2 linked regions of the Cricetulus griseus genome follow. Each later gene encodes a partner of the first gene's protein in a complex. Links are inferred from orthologs where the notes say so. Each region holds a gene or a part of one and is shown on either strand. Other genes may lie near its edges.

Evidence for each region.
Region 2: Gtf2f1 (region 1) and DNA-directed RNA polymerase II subunit RPB11-a share a complex: the UniProt entries of both Homo sapiens proteins name them as parts of the TBP-based Pol II pre-initiation complex. The link is inferred for Cricetulus griseus from reciprocal best matches to the Homo sapiens genes GTF2F1 and POLR2J.

Annotation. Positions count from the first base shown.
Region 1 is NC_048598.1:96,546,183-96,550,588, forward strand, and holds the start of Gtf2f1 (general transcription factor IIF subunit 1), read left to right. Parts: upstream 1-1,588; 5' UTR 1,589-1,853; coding exon 1,854-1,865; intron 1,866-1,950; exon of another isoform or gene 1,951-1,956; coding exon 1,957-2,003; intron 2,004-3,319; coding exon 3,320-3,392; intron 3,393-4,406. Other genes in the region: adenylate kinase isoenzyme 1-like, read right to left, coding at 270-469, 1,175-1,235. UniProt on the Homo sapiens protein: TFIIF is a general transcription initiation factor that binds to RNA polymerase II and helps to recruit it to the initiation complex in collaboration with TFIIB. It promotes transcription elongation.
Region 2 is NC_048597.1:115,110,833-115,115,393, forward strand, and holds the start of DNA-directed RNA polymerase II subunit RPB11-a, read left to right. Parts: upstream 1-1,623; 5' UTR 1,624-1,727; coding exon 1,728-1,780; intron 1,781-3,378; coding exon 3,379-3,468; intron 3,469-4,561. UniProt on the Homo sapiens protein: Core component of RNA polymerase II (Pol II), a DNA-dependent RNA polymerase which synthesizes mRNA precursors and many functional non-coding RNAs using the four ribonucleoside triphosphates as substrates.

The sequences.
Region 1 (4,406 bases):
TGTCTGTGCATGTGTGCAGAGCCCTCAGAGCATAGAAGAGGGCATCAGGTCCCCTGGAACCAGAGTTACCGACAGTTGTGAGCCAGCATGTGGGTACTGGGAACCAAACCCAGGTCCTGGGCCAAAGTAGCAGGTGCCTTTAACTGCTCCCACATCACAGTCTTCTCATGACAGTGTCGGTATGACAAGGCAGTGCCTGGGCCAGGACACCCTGGCTTCCTGGGGACTGACTCTGTGTTGTCTTGCCCCCCTCTCCCTTTAACTCTCACCGTGGGCACCAGGAGTCCCTGCTGCATGATGTCCCGGATCTGCTGACCCCGCCGGGTGCACCTCTGAGCCTCCTCCCGCAGCAGCTGGCCCAGCCCCACGTGGCAGAAACCGTACTTGGTGGCCATGTTTCTGCACTGTGTCCCTTTCCCGCAGCCAGGGCCGCCCACCACGAAGATGATCAGGGGAGACTTCAGGACATCTGTAGTGTTCATGGAAGACAGTGGGTACTAGTGCGTGTCTTCAGGGTGCCCTGGTCTCGAATCGAAGGATCCCAGTGCTGGGATTCTCTTGAGCCATTTGCACAGACCTCCTTGGAGCACCCTTGTAATTCCATCACCCCATTTTACAGATAATGAAAGGGAGAGGCCCTCAAACTCACGCAGCCGCACCCTGCTCAGTCCAGCATGCGGTGGTCCTGTCTAACCTACCTGCTTACGTCTACAGTCACACCTCCCCCCGTGCTGGGGTCAAGCGTCCCAGCTTGTCCTCCCCCTGCCTCAGACCCCCCTCCCCCCATGCATTCCATAGTCAGCCATGGTTCTTTCTCTCTTTCGGCTCGCTTTGGTCCTCCTAGCCAGCCTCTGTAACCCAGGGTGCATGGCCCTTGATGGTGAAGAAATGAATGTCTCTGCTACCAACCGTGGAAGTCAGTAGCCGTTTATGGTTCAAGGTTTGTGCCTGCCTTGTCCCTCTGCTTAACCAACTCCTATGCATCCCTCAGGCCCCCGTTCTCTGAGCCCTTCCTCTAGAGCTGTAATTCCGCAGGCATCCACCACTGGGGGGGAGAGGGCATGCGCAGCTGCGTTCTTGCCGCGTTAGTGTGAGCACACCCGCACGGTGGGTGGGATACCTGCTCCCACGCCCCGTCCGCCACCCGCGTAAGCCAACCACCCCACCACGTTACCCTTCTCCTGGGTCCTCAAAGTTCTGCCCACCTGGGGCAGCGTGGACTGGCACAGACCCATGTTGCCCGCATGCCGGAGTACGCGGGGGCCGGGTTCCCACCTGCCCCGACCCCTTGGCTCCGCTCGACGTCACAAGGGGCTCATTTTTGCAAGATGCCCGGAATTCCCCCCGGCACCCGGGGCACAGAAAACGGAATCCCAGCCCCCCGCCCCCCCCCCCGGAGCCCCAAGAGTCCTCTCGCGGAGCCGGCCGCGGTTGCTATGGCAACGCGGCCTCCGCACCCGCCACTGGCACGTTGGCGCATGCGCAGGAGTGCCGAGGACGCACTCGCCAGAAGACGCCACTCCCACCCTGCCCAGGATGCACCGCGGTGCCTGAGCCGTGACGTCACGAGGGGCGTGCCCACGCGCCGTGAATAAATCACTCGCGCTGGCGGCGAGAGCGCTAGTCAGAGGCTGGAGACCGCCTGAGCTAGGTGAGTGCTGAGGTAGCTCCCACCCCGGTGTGGCAGTTCTAGTTCCGGGTCAGAGTCACGTCTTCTTGAGACTTAAGGGTTTGGAGACACAAAACACAGGATCATACCAACGTAACTCCCGGGCAAGTTGCCTTCCCCGGGACCGAGGGATACCACGAAGAGCATCGGATCACGCCGCCCCGGAACCGCTTGAGCAACGGCCATGGCGACTCTAGTGAGTATGAATGAAACGGAGAGGCGGGGTGGGGGTGGCAGGACAGATCCACGGCCTCTCCTCGCCTCACAAACCCGTGCTTCCTCTGCAGAGCCCCGGCAGCCAGAACGTCACCGAGTATGTCGTCCGAGTCCCCAAGTAAGTCACCCACACCCACCACACGCTCCTCGGCCCGGTGGTGGCTCCGTGCAAGTCACAGTAACAGTCACACCGTAGTTAATGTCAGGCTCGATGACTCTGTCCTATTTTCAGACGCTCAGGCCACACACGGTGGCTGCGTTTAATCCGGGAGACAGAGGGAGGTGGATCTCTGGGAGTTTGAAGCCAGCCTGGAAGCCAGAGCGCGTTCCAGGACAGCCAGGGCTACACAGAGAAACCCTGTCTCGAAAAAAAAAAAAATTCCCAAACTTAGATGAATGCGAGGCCAAGTAGTCCACCATTAAGCCATACCCAGCCCTCTCTTATTTTGAAGACCAGTCTTACTGTGTAATGTAGTTCTAGCTGATTTGACCAGGCTGGCCTTAAACCTACCAAGACCCTCACACACCTCCGCCTCTTGCCTGCTTGATCTCCTCTTTTTCCCAAGACAGGGTTTCTCTGTATTTCTTTGGAGTCTGTCCTGGAACTTGCTCTGTAGACCAGGCTGGCCTCAAACTCACAGAGATCTGCATGCCTCTGCTCCCCCCTCTCCCTCAGGTGCTGGGATTAAAGGCACTTGCCACCACTGCCTGGTGGCCCACTTTTTCTTTTATTATCTTTATGTGTAAGAATGTTTTGTCTGAGTCGGGTGTTGATGGCACACGCCTTTGATCCCAGCACTCAGGAGGCAGAGGCAGGCGGATCTCTGTGAGTTCGAGGCCAGCCTGGTCTCCAGAGCTAGTGCCAGGATAGGCTCCAAAGCTACAAAGAGAAACCCTGTCTCAAAAAAAAAAAATGTTTTGTCTGCATGTATAGTTATGCACTGTGAGCATGCTGGGGCTTCTGGGTGTGGCTAACTTCTGATAGGGTTGGAGGAGATGGATCCATTTTATTTTATTTATTTATTTATTTATTTATTTTTGATCTAGCTTCTTAAACAAACTCTGGAGCAGTGGTTCTCATCCTGTGGGTTGTAACCCCTTAGGTTCAAATGACCCTTTCACAGGGTCTAAGACCATTGGACCATTGGTCTAATTAGACCAATGGTCTAAGCCTAAGACCATTAGAAAACACAGATATTTACATTATGATTCATAACAGTAGCAAAATTAGGAAGTAGTAACGAAAATAATTGTGTGGTTGGGGATCACCCCAACATGAGGAACTGTTTTAAAGGGTGCAGCTTTAGGAAGGTTGAAAACCACTGCTCTGGAGCTTTTATGAGTTCCCAGAATTACCTACAACCAAGGGGTGTAATCATGGTGGATTTTTTGAATGACTAATCAGTAGACTGAATTTTCTCTTGCCCATTCCAGGAACACAACCAAAAAGTACAACATAATGGCTTTTAATGCAGCTGATAAAGTCAACTTTGCTACCTGGAACCAGGTAAGTCTATAATTCTGGGTGGCTGGGGCAGAGGCCTAACTGGGTGGTGGTTACAGTCATCACTTTCTTGAAGTGGTGGCGGCTACACTTACAACCCTGGCAGATGTGTGGTTCCAACCATTTGGAGGTGTGGTCTGACTACATAAATCCTGTCTCAAAAAAAAGCAAGCCTGGGTTGTGGCTGGTTAATGGAGCATCAACTAGCATATAGCAGGCCAAGTAGGACCCCATGTGTGCTGGACTTGGTAGCACGTGTCTATCATCCCAACACAGGCATGCGGTATAGGTTCTTAAATTGAAGACTATCCTTGGCTATGAAGTGAGCTCAAGTGAAGACTAGGATACCTGGACCATGCTTTAACAAAGACAAAGTATGGCGGGCGCTGGTGGCACACACACTTTTAATCCTAATCCCAGCACTAGGTGTCAGAGGCAGGTGGATCTCTGTGAGTTTGAGGCCAGCCTGGTCTACAGGGAAACCCTGTCTTGAAAAACCAAAAAATAAATAAGGAAATTTTAAAGGCCAAAGTTTTAAACTGTCCACTATTCTGGGTGCCATGTTAAAATGCTATATCTCCATATTGTCTGGTTGCATCTGAGCTATCCCCTGGTGGACACCGCCTGTCTCTGTGGTCTTTCTAAGGGCCCCATTCCCTGGAGTCCCTTTTGTGTGTGACATTTCGTGTGTGCACATGCACTTGTGGGCATGTGGTGCATCTCAGGGCCAGAGGTTGACAACAGGTGTCTTCTTTAGTTACTTTGCACATTATTATTTGGATGACATATGTTAGGCCACAGATGAGTGTGGGACACAATTTGGAGATCAGAGAACAGCTTTCAGGGGTCAGTTTTCACCTGCCTGGGTCTTGAAGTCTAAGGCTTCGCAGGCAACACTCTCTCACAGACTTTCCTCATGAGTTTCTGAGTCAGGGTATCCCACTGAACCTGGGCTTGCTGACCAGTGAGTTCCAGGTACCCTCCTGTCTGTTCCTGCCTGCTGGGGCCTCAGATGCA
Region 2 (4,561 bases), on another chromosome or scaffold:
AGAGTCAAGCTCCTTCCCATGAGATAACTCCTCCTCCTCATGGGGTAATCTGCCTTCAAAGCTCTGCTTTTCCTAGAATCAAAGGTGACTACAAGCTTAGGGCTGTGACTGGAGAACCTTGGATGACTTCCTGCTCTTCCTCCCCCTTCTTCTTCTGAGTTTGAAAGGAGACATAAAAGCCGAGGAAGATGCCTGCATTATCTTTGTGCCTTCTGCCTTGAAGGAGGATGAGCTGGGCTAGGTATCAATGGTCCTTAGGTAGACACTCCAGGGATAACAAGTCAATATGCAGAGCAAGGGGGAGCATGATGTGATTGGTGTTTGAAGGGTTCCAAAGCCCTCTGGCACCTGGCATTGTCTTCACTTGTCCCCTGGTGGCACTGCCATCTTCCATGTTATACAGTGAAGTTTTAGTGCTCATGTACCAATGGCTAGGCTGGCTCATACCTGTTACTCCAAAGACTAGGAGACTGAGTTATTGTTCCTGTTGCTGTGTCTACAAACCCGACAGAAGCATCCTCAGGAAGGGTTGGGATGTCATAGCAACAGGAGTGCCAGGCAGCTGATCACATTGCCACCTGCATCCAGGAAGCAGAACAAGATGGTTTCCTTTCCTCTTTTATTCAGTCTGAGGGCTTAGCCTCTAGGATGGCATCATGCACGTGGTGAGTCCTTAATGGTGAGTCCTTAATGGTGAGTCCTTCCTTCCTCAGTTAAACCTGTCTAGAATCTCACCAACACACTCAGAAGTTTTTGTTTTGTTTTGTTTGTATATACATTGTGTGTACACAGGGAGGTCAGAGGAATTGGTTCTCAACTTCTCCCACATGGGTCCTGGGGATTGAACTCATGTAGTCAGGCTTGGTGACACTATCTTTACCCACTGGACTGTCCTGCTGGCCCACTTGTCTGTTTCCACAATGATACTAAATCTCATCAGGTTGACAAAATGAACCATCATGGAGGCTGGAGAAATAGCTCAGCAGTTAAAGACTGACTACTCTTTCAGGACTAGAGTTGGGTTCCCAGCACCTCCAAGGCTGGTCTCCAAAGGCTCCTGTATGTACGTTCTGCACAGACAGGCAGATAGAAATCTTTAAAAATAGGAAAAATAGCCACAATAGCCACAAAGACGGCTGAAAAGCAGAGAGGTGCCAGGCTGTCATTGTTTTTTGGTTACCTGTGTGTCCAACAGAGGATCCGCTGGCACCCTGTCACTTTTACACACCTTCCTGCTCCTCATCCAGCCAGCCGGGGTCCTGCAGCAGCAGCTCATACACATACACAGCTTGGATTCCAGCTCAGTGAGCCAGTTGCAGGTGGCCCAGCCTTCCCTCGCTGGAATATGCGCCAAAGAGCCGCCTGGTGAAAGCCACTTTTTTTTTTTTCTTTTTGTTTGTTTTGTTTTCAAGACAGGGTTTCTCTGTGTTGTTTTGAAGCCTATCCTGGCACTCACTCTGTAGACTAGGCTGTCCTCGAAACCACAGAGATCCGCTTGGCTCTGCCTCCTGTGCTGGGAGGTGCTGCCCCTGGGGTTTGGACAGGATTTCTAACCTGCTCCGCCTCGCCTGCTCGTGCCTGCCGAAGGTCATCCGGTCCACCAGGGGGCGCGGGGCCAGGGGCTTTGATTGGCTGTGTCCTCGTGACCCGGAAGTGGTCGCGGTCCGGAGCTCAGTGTGGTAACGGCGGCTGCGGCTTGAGTCTGGGAGCCGGAGCGCACCTCTAGGATGAACGCTCCTCCGGCCTTCGAGTCGTTCTTGCTCTTCGAGGGCGAGAAGAAGTAAGTGGAGGCCGTTAGCTCTGGCGCGGTGAGCACTGTGCTTCGTGCGCGTCTGCCGAACTTCAGGCGGTGGTGCGATGTACGCCTGTGTTACAGCGGGGAAACTGAGGCCGGGGCACGTCGAGCCCTTGCTCCAGACACTTAGGAAGTGTCGGGGACTGTATTCGAACTCAGAGTGTCAGGCTCCCTTTTCACTGGTCTGCAGCCCCATTATCCATGCTGCGCAGCGATGGCTTTAGAGCTCACCCCCCTGCATAGGGTGCGATCGCCTGTGATTCCAGGACTTGGCGACTGAGGCAGGAGGATAATGATGGTAGCGGTGAAGGGACCGAGACACAGCTACCCTCTCACACTCCTCAGCAGCCTGAGGATTTCCTCTAGATTTTCAGGGATCTCGGCCAAACTCAGGTTCGTGGCTTCAACACTAGAAAGAATTTCAGGACTCGACGGTTTAATGACGCACTCAGGAGGCACAGGCAGACGGATCTCTGAGTTCAAGGCCAGCCTGGTCTATAGAGGTAGTTCCAGGACCAAGAGAAATCCCGTTCTGAAAAAGAAAAAAGGAGCAATCCTGTGTGGGAAAGGGTCCTTGGTGTGTATAGATAAGGTGCCATCACGGAGTAGAGAAGGTTCCTTGTTTTTTTGTTTTGGTCATGCTGGGGACTGGACCCAGGGTCTGGCCCATGCTAGGTTACTGCTCTATCAATAAGCTACACTCGAGCTTTTTTTTTTTTTTTGTAGTTTTCTTTTGGTTTTTCAAAACAGGGTTTCCTCTGTGTTGCTCTGGCTGTCCTGGAACTCGCTCTGTAGTGCAGGCTGGCTTCGAAGTCACAGAGATCCTCCTGCCTCTGCCTCCCAAGCGCTGGATCAAAGGTGTGCTCCACCACTGCCTGGCTCACTCCAGCTCCCCCTGCCCAACATTTGCTAGGCTGGGGAGATGGCTCAGTGGGTCACAGCTCAAAGCATTTGCTGAGGATTGGTGTGGATCTCCAGAAGCCGTGTCAAAGCTGTGCAATGTGCCTACTTCATTGCTCCTCCAGGGACGTGGAAGTGTAGATAGGAGTCAGCCAGCATGGTCTGTCAAGGAAGGCAAGGATGACAGTGTTTTTCTCTGCCCTCCTGCCCCCGTCACTGGGATTACTAGTCCCAGTGACTAGTCCCAGCAGGCCTACCTTGCTTGTTTTGTTTGGAGGGGGAGTGAGTGGTAGGATGAAACCCAGAGCCTTAAAAATTTGAGATAAATGGTGACCCATTGAACCATGCCAGAGCTCTCAGAGAGCCCTTTGGGGCGAGCAGACTGGGGATAGTGGGACTTGCAGAATGATGGCCTCCCTTGAATTGTTAGGGGGTTTGGAGACAAGCTGTTTTCTGTCTTCTAGGAAAGAATTTAGTCAAGAGCTAGTTTAAGACAACCAATTTGTATGAGGGAAAGAGCTGGATGTTTTTGTTTCTGGGGTAGTGGGAACAGCCCAACTGCAGTTTCTAGAATGTTTGATCACAAAGGGGACACCGATTTGAGAATCAGTGTCAGCATCACAAGAGCTGGATGTGGGGCCAGGGAAAGCTATCACCCTCAGCCTTTGCCTGTCTCATTGTAGAATCACCATTAACAAGGACACAAAGGTGCCCAATGCTTGCCTGTTCACCATCAACAAAGAAGACCACACTCTGGGGAACATCATCAAATCGTAAGTCCCAGGCCAGAGGCCTCGAGTGTCACCAGAGCTCTGTAGGCTGAGCACATGCCCTGGGACGGTTCCTTCCGTCTCTCCGCAGCTTGCTGGCACTTTAACCTGTCACTGACAGGTCTGTTCACATGCGGCTTGCTTTTGTTGGCTTTTTGATGTAGGGGTTCATGTAGTGTAGACTGGACTCAAACTGACTCACCTTACCATGGTTGCCGGGATCCTGGCCACGTAACACGTAACACATCAGCTTCCTGTTGGCTCATTCATGTAGTGTATAAGTTTGCAGTTGCCTCTTGGTCTTTTGGCCAAGATCAAGTTCAGGGGACTCCAGCAAAGCAGGTTTTCATTTTAGTGGGCATCAAGATGCTAAGAGGTGATGGGTATGGTGGTACACACCTGTAATTCCAGCACTCGGGAGGCAGAGGCAGATGGAGTACTTGTGAGTTCAGAGCCAGCCTGGTCTACATAGTAAGCTCTAGGACAGCCAGTTACATACAGTATCTCAAAAAGATAAAGCAAAGGGGGCCAGCAGTGTCACCTCACTTACCCCTACATTTGATAGAAAGCTGCAGGCATCGGCAGATTACCAAACTTTTGTTACTGGGTGATTGCCAGTGCTTTCAGAGCTGGGGGGGTGACAGACGGTCCCCACCTGACATGAGTGCTGGGAATTGACTCTGGCTCCTCTCCAAGAGCAATACTTTCTTTAAATTTAAAACACCTTTTGCCTATGTATGTCTACCGTGTGTCTGTTACCCATGAAGGTCAGAAAGAACTAGATCCCTTGGAGCTGGAGGTACAGGTGGTTAGATGCCACATGGGTGCTGGAAACCTTTTAACTAATCCAGTTCTCCAGCCTTCCCTGCATGTAATGTGCTGGGTCTGGTGGTTTGTGCCTTTAACCACAGCAGGCAGATCTCTGTAAGTTCAAAGCCAGCTTGGCCTACATTGAGTTCCAGGATAGCCAGGACTGTTAAGGAAACCCTGTCTGGAAAAACCAAAAAATATATTGTGAATGTAGTGTCTGAGTAGGGCTAGAAGAGGGTGTTGGATCCGTGGAGCTGGAGTTGTGAATTGTGTGCCACCTGCCGGA